2 linked regions of the Saccharomyces cerevisiae S288C genome follow. The main gene of each other region encodes a partner of the protein of the gene in region 2 in a complex. Each region holds a gene or a part of one and is shown on either strand. Other genes may lie near its edges. The genes, in order: BUD7 and CHS6.

Evidence for each region.
Region 1: CHS6 (region 2) and BUD7 share a complex: the UniProt entries of both Saccharomyces cerevisiae proteins name them as parts of the CHS5/6 complex.

What each region holds. Positions count from the first base shown.
Region 1 is NC_001147.6:876,809-881,495, reverse strand, and holds BUD7 (exomer complex subunit), read right to left. Parts: upstream 3,062-4,687; coding exon 821-3,061; downstream 1-820. Other genes in the region: RAX1 (Rax1p), read right to left, coding at 1-531; MBF1 (multiprotein-bridging factor 1), read left to right, coding at 3,811-4,266; MUM3 (Mum3p), read right to left, coding at 4,458-4,687. UniProt on the Saccharomyces cerevisiae protein: Member of the CHS5-ARF1P-binding proteins (CHAPS) which mediates export of specific cargo proteins, including chitin synthase CHS3. May be involved in positioning the proximal bud pole signal.
Region 2 is NC_001142.9:237,252-242,236, forward strand, and holds CHS6 (Chs6p), read left to right. Parts: upstream 1-2,162; coding exon 2,163-4,403; downstream 4,404-4,985. Other genes in the region: 1-phosphatidylinositol 4-kinase LSB6, read left to right, coding at 12-1,835; SAP185 (Sap185p), read left to right, coding at 4,831-4,985. UniProt on the Saccharomyces cerevisiae protein: Member of the CHS5-ARF1P-binding proteins (CHAPS) which mediates export of specific cargo proteins, including chitin synthase CHS3.

The sequences.
Region 1 (4,687 bases), on a different chromosome or scaffold from region 2:
TGTAGTTATCTGCGGTTTTCCGTCTTGTTGGGAGCGCCTTTTCATTATCTCGTCGACGATCAGCGCTACGTCTTCGTTTCTCAGGGCTTCTTGACCGATACCCGATTGGTGCTTCCAATCACCCAGCAATTCGTTTAATTTTGGTGAAAAGGGCACGTCTGGGCCGCTATTTTCTAAGAGTTTATCAGGTGCTTCCGGGTCTAGGTGCCCTTCTTCTATCAGTGCGTTCAGCAAGTCAAATGTAGCCGTAGATGTACTTCCATTCTGCTGTTGTTCTTGTGGAAAGTTGATTAATGATTTTCTTACCAACTCTATGTAGTTTTTGCAAAGTCGTGTATGTGTCATAAGGTCAACCCAAAAGTCCAGATAGTTGATGGCATATGGGAATTGTGAAAGAAATGTATAAAAAGTCCAGAGATCAACTGGCTGCGATGTCCTCTGTATTAACACTTCATACAATGTTGGCAATCGTTCACGCTGGATCATCTCGAAATTTTGCATACTGCTCACTTTGCTGAGCTCTTCCTTCATGATGAATGGGACGCTCTTGAACTTTCTTTTTGGCAGAAATTGTTAGAGGTCGTTGTGCACAATGAATTTCCCGTATGTGTTTTATTGATATTTTCGTTTTGCCCGCATTCTCGAAACACGAATATTTTTCCTCGAATGGCGGCGGGCGGCGAAGTTACATAACCAGCATTGCTCTGTATTAATGTATGCTGGGTTTTCTTTAAAGTGACCCAAGAGTTTGACACAACGTTGAAGCGTATCGCCAATTTTTTTTGGATTATATATACGTATTAATGTCTTTTTATCGTATTTATGCATCGTAGCATCCAATGGTGCAAGTAGTGAAGAAATTGAGCAAATTCTCCTGCACCAAGTTGAGAACAGTTTCTGGATATCTTGACGAGATTTCATTCGAAACTTTGGTCAGACTCATATCTTGAATAACCACACTTAAACAATCAAGTAAACTTATGGAAAATTCCGTATACCAACGGTGGTTCCAGCAGCATATCTTCACGCAAAGGTCGATAATGCTATTGTCTAGCTCTCTTATGCGTGAGCTTACTATTTCAGGGACCATGTCATGCGAATTAGGTGAGTTTATAAAATTTTTGACCCGTTGGCGTTCGTTTATACAATATTCCAGCAGTTTCCTCGCGCACCTTGATGAAAATCTCTGCGATAAACCGTTCTGGAAGGCCTTGGCGGCCTCAGGGAAATGGCCCAGTCGACGTGCACAAAGGCCAAATAACTCCCATTCGAAAGTCAACTTATTGTGGTTGTTATTCTGTGCATCCATGTACAGTTGTTCGGTTTGCCATAATGTATACATCTTCAGGTCTTCATATAAAAGCATGAAGAGGTTGTCTAACCATCGTTCACACAGCCGTTTAGCCCTCAGAGGCTGTTCTTCTTGTTTGTTAACGTCCTTTGGTAACGAAGATGATGATTTTTGGTACTCTTCTTCCATAACGAAAATGTTTGATCTGTACTTTAACAGATTTTCCCAGCCGGTGATCTGCACAATTTCTGTCAATAATCGGTATGCCAATTGGAAAGTAGATTTCAAGTTCGACGCAGCTAAATTGACCAGCATTGGATCCGCAGAGCGGTGTTCATTCTGAACGTCTTGTGGATTCAACGACGTCACTTCATCCAGTACAACGTCAATTGGCAATGGCAAATGAAGACTATTATTCGAAGGCAACGGAGCTACTCTTTTCAGTACGTATTTTTCCTTTAATGGAGACATAGGGCATGAATTCAGTATCAGTAAGGCATTTTCAATATCATTTAGCTTTACATACACCTTGGATAAAAGATACCAAGGTCTAAATTCACTGGGAGAACAATTGACTGCCTCTTGCGCTATGTTTTGCGCCAAGCTGTAATCCTGCCTTTTGTCTATCAAAAATTGCGCTTGTAAGCACAGTAATTCAGATTTATAATCCATGCGGTTATTAGTGTTGTTTATTATTTTATCCTGCGAAAGCATATCGTATGTGAGCTTTATTGCGTCTAATTCTTGATCACACACCAAAAAGATCTTGATTAGTATTATGATCGCCTCAGGGTTGTCGGTAGCCAGATTCTTCAACATTATTTCCGCCCTGCTAACATTACGAGTCAGCTTAACTATCTCAACGAGTGTTTCTACCAAATAGTTATTAGTGTTCGTCACATTGGTAATATAATACGGAGCTCCCAATAATGGGCCCTTATGGTAAACTATAGGGAACAGATCAATGAACATTTCTGGTACATCGTCGATTTGTCCTGCAGTAAACGGGTTCAAAATCAAGGTTTCCACTAAATTTTGTAATTCTCCCTCTTCAGCGTTTTCCTTCATTAACATGATTGACCGTACTACGCCACTTACGAACGTTTCAGCCCAAATTAAGTCATAATCCGCACACATCTCTATATTTTGACTTTCACCGTTGCAATCCACTATAAAGTTCTGAATCGATCCTGGAATATGAACGACGACATTTATGTCGCATCTCCTGAACGCATTCCAAGTGGAAAATGAAATTCGAGCAACATTGAAGGTTTTCTTCCTGCCAAACCAAACTTGGGGTTTCTCGCTGATGACCTCTGAAATCTCCTTCAAAAAAATTGCGATTGAAGTTGGACCGGATGTATCGACACCCATTGAGTAAAAAAATGTCCCTACTTCGTCCTTCAGTTTATCAAGTGGATGGAGCTCAGCGACCATCGGGGCTCCATCATTGGCATTTCTGCTGCTACTGTATATAGATGCATTTGTATAATTTGTGGTAACGGCGGTGTCACTAGCATCGCCATTGGTTGCCATGGAAGCGGCAGAGTCATCGGCTACAACGGCTGCAGGGGACTGAATAATGGCCGCACCATTTCTACTCGTACTGTTTATGGCATTTGTGTTACTTGAAGTGGGCAAATACTTTGTTAGTGTGACCAAGTCTGCCGGCCCTAAGTCTTGAAACTGCGGTAACCGAATTCTTCTCTCATGTAAAGCATAACCAATAAAATCTTCTTTTACCTCTGGTATAGAATTCTGCGTAATCATCTGAGGGAAGCTCTTCTTCCTTAGTTCTTTATTTTTTTGCGCTCACTCCCTTCTCAAACACTTCAACTTAATAACAGCACTATTTATGGAAAAAAAATCTTAAAATAATTAAAACGCCATTGCCTCGAGGCTAAGCTTACGCCCTCTTGCTATATTTGCATACGTTTTTCAGATCCTTCTTCTATTCCTGGCTCAGGTACCAGGTACCGAAAAAGGTGAAGAAAAAAGGACTTGGAATGTGTTCACGTGACGCTATCGACACCCGCATGACAGAATCTTAAGGCAATGCTCGCAACTTTCTTCCAAGATGCGTGAAAATGCTTATAAGTCTTACTAAGCTATCAAGACATACTGAATTTGGGTCACTACGTCTCATTTATCGAACACTGATGAAAAGATGGTAGGCCTGATACTTGGCCCAAATGTACGCCAGTCAACTTTGCATTGGAGGGTAATAGAAGCAAGGATTCTGTTACCCTGACTATGTTACCCTGATTGTATTACCCGACCAAGAGAACCACGTAGAACGTCATGGAACAATTCCTGGAAATAATCGATCACCATCGTTGCCTCTTTCATGAACGGGCGCCCCTTGACGGTGGTGGTATATATTAGGTAGCTGGAAAGGCGCCTGTCGCTTAACCAATAATAGTTTCATGTGTTAGGGAAGGTTGAATCTACGCTTCCATAACTGTAAAAGCTAATAAGCTAGAAAACAAAAAAGTTAACGAGCAAAATCGTAAAGAAAAATGTCTGACTGGGATACAAATACTATTATTGGTAGCAGAGCAAGAGCTGGTGGTTCTGGCCCAAGGGCCAACGTTGCCAGATCTCAAGGCCAAATTAATGCTGCAAGAAGACAGGGGTTGGTTGTTTCCGTTGACAAGAAGTACGGATCAACCAATACGAGGGGTGACAACGAGGGTCAGAGGTTGACCAAGGTCGACCGTGAGACAGATATTGTCAAACCCAAGAAATTGGATCCAAATGTCGGTAGGGCCATCTCGCGTGCCAGAACAGACAAGAAAATGTCGCAGAAGGATTTGGCAACCAAAATTAACGAAAAGCCAACCGTGGTAAACGATTATGAAGCCGCTAGAGCTATTCCAAACCAACAAGTTTTGTCTAAGTTGGAAAGAGCCTTAGGCGTTAAATTGAGAGGTAACAACATCGGTTCGCCTTTGGGAGCTCCAAAGAAGAAATGAAGAGGTCTTCTTTCATTTGTTCCTTTCTTTTCGCACTGCATGTCATCAATGAAGCATTCTTAATAATGTACATTATTCTATCATGATCGTTTTATGGTTTTTTTCGTTTATTTTATCATTTTTTTTTTTTTTTAGCTTTTTTTCCTCTATAGAAAGTGAAGTACACACGTATATATTATGATTCAGGATCTTTATTTGGTCTCAATTTTAATATTTTTTTGCAAGGACTCGATTAATCTATCTTTTTCTATCCACCTATTTTCAAGCCACTTTTCTAAACTCTCATCATTGTATGCGAGTAATGGTTGAATTTGATGCTTTTTTACATTTACCATCACAACAATGGGGTCCTTATCCTTTATGTTGTTTTCAGACTCCATTTCTGGTTGAATCATCTCAAAGATTGTCGGAGATATTTGCT
Region 2 (4,985 bases):
CCAACCAAAGCATGAGTAACGAAGCTTACCAGCATGATCATACCGTAAATCCTCACCAGAAGATAGTTGTGAACAGCTACGATTGGTTACAGTTCCGTGATGAGCAAGATCACTGTAAAAGTAAGAACCCGATAACGCACGCTTCTCCAGGGGTCGGTTCGAATGCACAGAATTCAGACATAGCGGAGGCCCCTCAGGTATTCCACCCTTCCTATCAATCTCTGGTCAACGTACCGTCCGAGAGCCCGCGACCTGATCAGACTTCAGGGTCCAATCCTGCCGTTGGACTGCTTCATAATGCAGAGGACAAAGCGTCAGGGCAAGAAGAAGAAGGAAGTCAATATGAGATTCAATATTCGGTATTTCGTCCGCTGCATGCATATCCAACCAAGGGCCTAGCATATGAGCAGCTCCGAAGAAAAGAAGAACAAGAACAGAGGGAAAACTTCAACCATTTGGTTTCTGACTGTATTGAGGCTGTAGAGACATTTGGACGCGAACTCGAGAGAATCCAAACTGGCTCAAGTGGGTCGTACTTTGTGTATGGAACACGGGCCGACGAAAGCGTTCCGGTGGGGGTCTTCAAGCCCAAGGATGAGGAACCATATGGCCCATTTTCTCCCAAATGGACCAAATGGGCACACCGCACGTTTTTCCCATGTCTGTTTGGCAGAAGTTGTCTGATTCCAAACCTCGGGTACATCTGTGAAAGTGCGGCTAGTTTGTTGGATAGGCGACTGGAAACGCATCTAGTACCCTATACAGATACTGCATCTATAGAGTCTTTTAATTTTTATGATAATAGAAAAAAATGGGTATTGGGATACAACCTTCAGAAGAAGAAACAAAAAAAGCTGGGTTCTTTCCAACTTTTTTTGAAGGAGTACATCAACGCCGATGAGTTCTTTCATAAATACCCATTACCTGGGATGTATTCAGATGTTAAACATTCATTTCATCGTAAGTCATCCGGCGAAGATATCAATCATAAACCAGAGACAACCAGGAACCTAACAGATGAGACAGAACCGTCCAAGCAAATAAATTCCTCTCCAATTTCGACGGAATCTGAAGAAAATTCGAAATTTGAATGGACAGAATCAAGTTTGAGTCAGTTCAGATTGGAACTAGAAAAACTAATTATCCTTGATTATATAATGAGAAACACAGATAGAGGTCTAGACAATTGGATGGTGAAACTAATCAAACTTTCAAACAATAAGTGGAGACTCAAGTTAGCCGCCATCGACAATGGGTTGTCCTTTCCCTGGAAGCATCCTGATGAGTGGCGTCTGTACCCATATGGCTGGTTGTATTTGCCTCTGCAACTACTAGCCAAACCATTTTCTGAGCAAATGAGATCTCATTTCCTACCGATATTGACAAGCACTAATTGGTGGGAAGAGTCGTACCAAGAATTCTTGGCCCTATTTAGCAGGGACCAAGATTTTAACGTCCGAATGTGGAAGAAGCAATGGGCAGTATTAAAAGGACAGGCGTTCAACGTTGTCGAAACATTGAAAGACCCACGACAAGGCCCCTTGGAATTGGTTAGAAGGACAAGGTGCCAGGTAATAGATGAGAAGATGCAAGTTCCCTGTTGCCCACCTCCAGTTTCTATTTTCAAAAACGCCATAGACGAACCTATTGGATCATATTCCACTTCACCAATGGTACTCCCTAGCACCCCAAGCACAATTCCATTTCATGCACATAACCAAAGCAATAGTAATCCTGTATACTATGATTCCACTCTGCACCCATTTGCTAATAAAACAGTGATAGCAGAGCGGCTACAAATAGTCAATTCCACCCCCGTATTCACCTGGTGTTGATTTTTTGGAAAATAATTCAATACATACTCAATATAAAGAAATCATAACTCTACTTTAGCATATAGGAAATAGACTCTTTCGAAAAAACCTCTTTCTGTAGTGTTAGAAAGCAACCGGCTATTATTTTTGTGTGTCTTCGAAAAATCGGAACCCAAACAGATCTTAGCGGATTCATGGTAAAAATAGCCTTGAAGAATTTAGGAAAATAAATAGATACTCAAAAAGGAATAGAGGATCTTAACAAATCATTACATTACTTAACTCACATTAAAAGCAAACACCTTTCTTAAGCTGTTGGTGCAAAAAAGGATTACATCTATTGCCCTTATGAATTTGTTTTGGCCATCGGAAACCAAAAAGCAAAATGAAATACCTGGTGGCGATTATACACCTGGGAACTCACCTTCAGTACAAAAGGGTTATCAATTCCTCAATCGAGACATATTTAAAAGTTGTCCACGAATTATGGAAAGGCAGTTTGGTGAGTGTCTGCACAATAGAACGCATTTAATCAAGGATTTAATTTCTTCTGGCAATGTTGGACTAGGTCCCATTGAGATTGTTCACATGTCCTACTTAAACAAACATGAAAAAGAAGAGTTTGGTGAATATTTCTACGTTACAGGGATCGAAGTTTCCGGTCCTGCAATGCCCGTAGAGTTTCTTGAAGTGCTAAAATCGAGTAAGCGGATTTCCAAAAATATATCGAATAATATCATATTGACTTATTGCTGTTTTAATTTTTTCAGCAATCTAGACATCCGTATTAGATACGATGCTGACGATACTTTCCAGACAACGGCAATTGACTGTAACAAGGAAACCACTGACCTGACCATGACAGAAAAAATGTGGGAAGAAACGTTCGCAAGTTCTGTCATCCGAGCGATAATAACAAATACTAATCCAGAGTTAAAACCTCCCGGTTTAGTAGAGTGTCCATTCTACGTTGGAAAAGATACTATCTCCTCTTGCAAAAAGATCATAGAATTACTCTGCCGATTCTTACCACGGTCACTGAATTGCGGGTGGGATTCTACCAAGAGTATGCAAGCCACCATTGTCAATAACTATTTAATGTATAGTTTAAAAAGTTTTATTGCAATCACGCCAAGCCTAGTGGATTTTACAATCGACTACCTGAAAGGACTTACCAAGAAAGATCCAATCCATGACATATACTACAAGACGGCTATGATCACAATTCTAGATCACATAGAAACAAAGGAGTTAGACATGATAACTATTTTAAATGAGACGCTCGACCCCCTTTTATCTCTGCTAAATGATTTACCGCCTCGCGATGCTGATTCAGCACGATTAATGAATTGCATGAGTGACTTGCTGAACATTCAAACAAATTTTTTGTTAAACAGGGGTGATTACGAACTAGCATTAGGCGTCTCTAACACATCAACCGAACTAGCCTTAGACTCTTTTGAATCTTGGTACAACCTAGCGAGATGCCACATCAAAAAAGAGGAGTATGAAAAGGCTCTCTTCGCAATAAATTCAATGCCTCGTTTGCGCAAAAATGATGGACACCTGGAAACAATGTACAGTAGGTTTCTTACCTCCAATTATTATAAAAAGCCATTGAATGGTACCCGCGAACACTACGACTTGACTGCAATGGAATTCACGAATCTCTCGGGAACGTTGAGGAATTGGAAAGAGGATGAGTTAAAACGGCAAATTTTTGGAAGAATCGCAATGATAAACGAAAAAAAAATCGGTTATACAAAGGAAATCTGGGATGATATTGCGATAAAGTTGGGTCCGATTTGTGGTCCACAATCTGTGAATCTGATTAATTATGTCTCCCCTCAAGAGGTCAAAAACATAAAAAATATCAATTTAATAGCAAGGAATACGATCGGCAAACAATTGGGATGGTTTAGTGGTAAAATATATGGGTTATTAATGGAAATTGTGAACAAAATTGGTTGGAATGGCTTATTAAACATCCGAACAGAAGCTTTCATGATGGAAACTGAATTCTATCAAGCTTCTAACAACATTATCGATGAAAACGGTCATATACCGATGGAATCCCGAAAGAAAAGGTTTTGTGAAGGGTGGCTAGATGATTTATTTTTAGATTTATATCAAGACTTGAAATTGAGCAAGATTAGCCTAAGCAATAAAGATGAAAAACACAGCGGATTAGAGTGGGAACTTTTGGGTTTGATCATGCTGCGTACCTGGCATTGGGAAGATGCCGTAGCTTGTCTAAGAACAAGCATAGTAGCTCGATTCGACCCCGTAAGTTGCCAGCAGCTGCTAAAAATATACCTGCAACCTCCAAAAAATATTCAAGAGGTTACATTACTAGACACAGATACCATAATAAGTTTATTAATTAAGAAAATATCATATGATTGCAGGTATTATAATTATTGCCAGATATTTAATCTGCAACTGCTAGAAAAGCTATGCAACGAATTGGGGACGCATATACTGCGTAATAAGATCCTTCTTCAACCTTCCATAGGAGACGAAATCATGGTCATGATCGATGCCATGCTTGCGTGGATAGCCGACCTAGATCACACAGTACAACCTTGAACAAAACGGTGCTCTTAGTATTATTATATAACCACTACGGTTGGATGGACTGAGGGTAAGGGTAACCGTATACCTTTTATTTTTTTTTTTACATTTTGAACTGGGAAGAAAATTTTTTTTGCGAGGGATTGACGGCTAACGCCAAAACACTCCGAAGAGAATGAGAAAAGCTTGGGCATCGCTCGAAGTCATCGAACGGGACTATTTTTGTTTAAAATTTCACCAGATCTGCTTGATAAGGGTAGTTTAGCTTGTGTATTTGGGAAAGGTACGCAAAAGATATATTTTACTAAGATCTTTAAATATTTTTAGCTTGAGGTAATACATGCTAATTTTAGTTGATTAGAGATTCTGAAAAATTCGTTTTAGTTAGTGTTTAAGAATAGTGGCGTTTATCGTTTTGCCCATTTAATAATTAGGAAAAAATATGTCAGGGTCCTTTTGGAAGTTTGGACAAGATTTTGGTTCACAGTCTCCATTAGCTAAACTGTTGAACAGGGCTTTCATTAAGATCGATGATAAGCCCACTAGTACGGAAGCAGGGAAAATTGACTCTAATAGCACAGATGAAAGTTTAGAAAG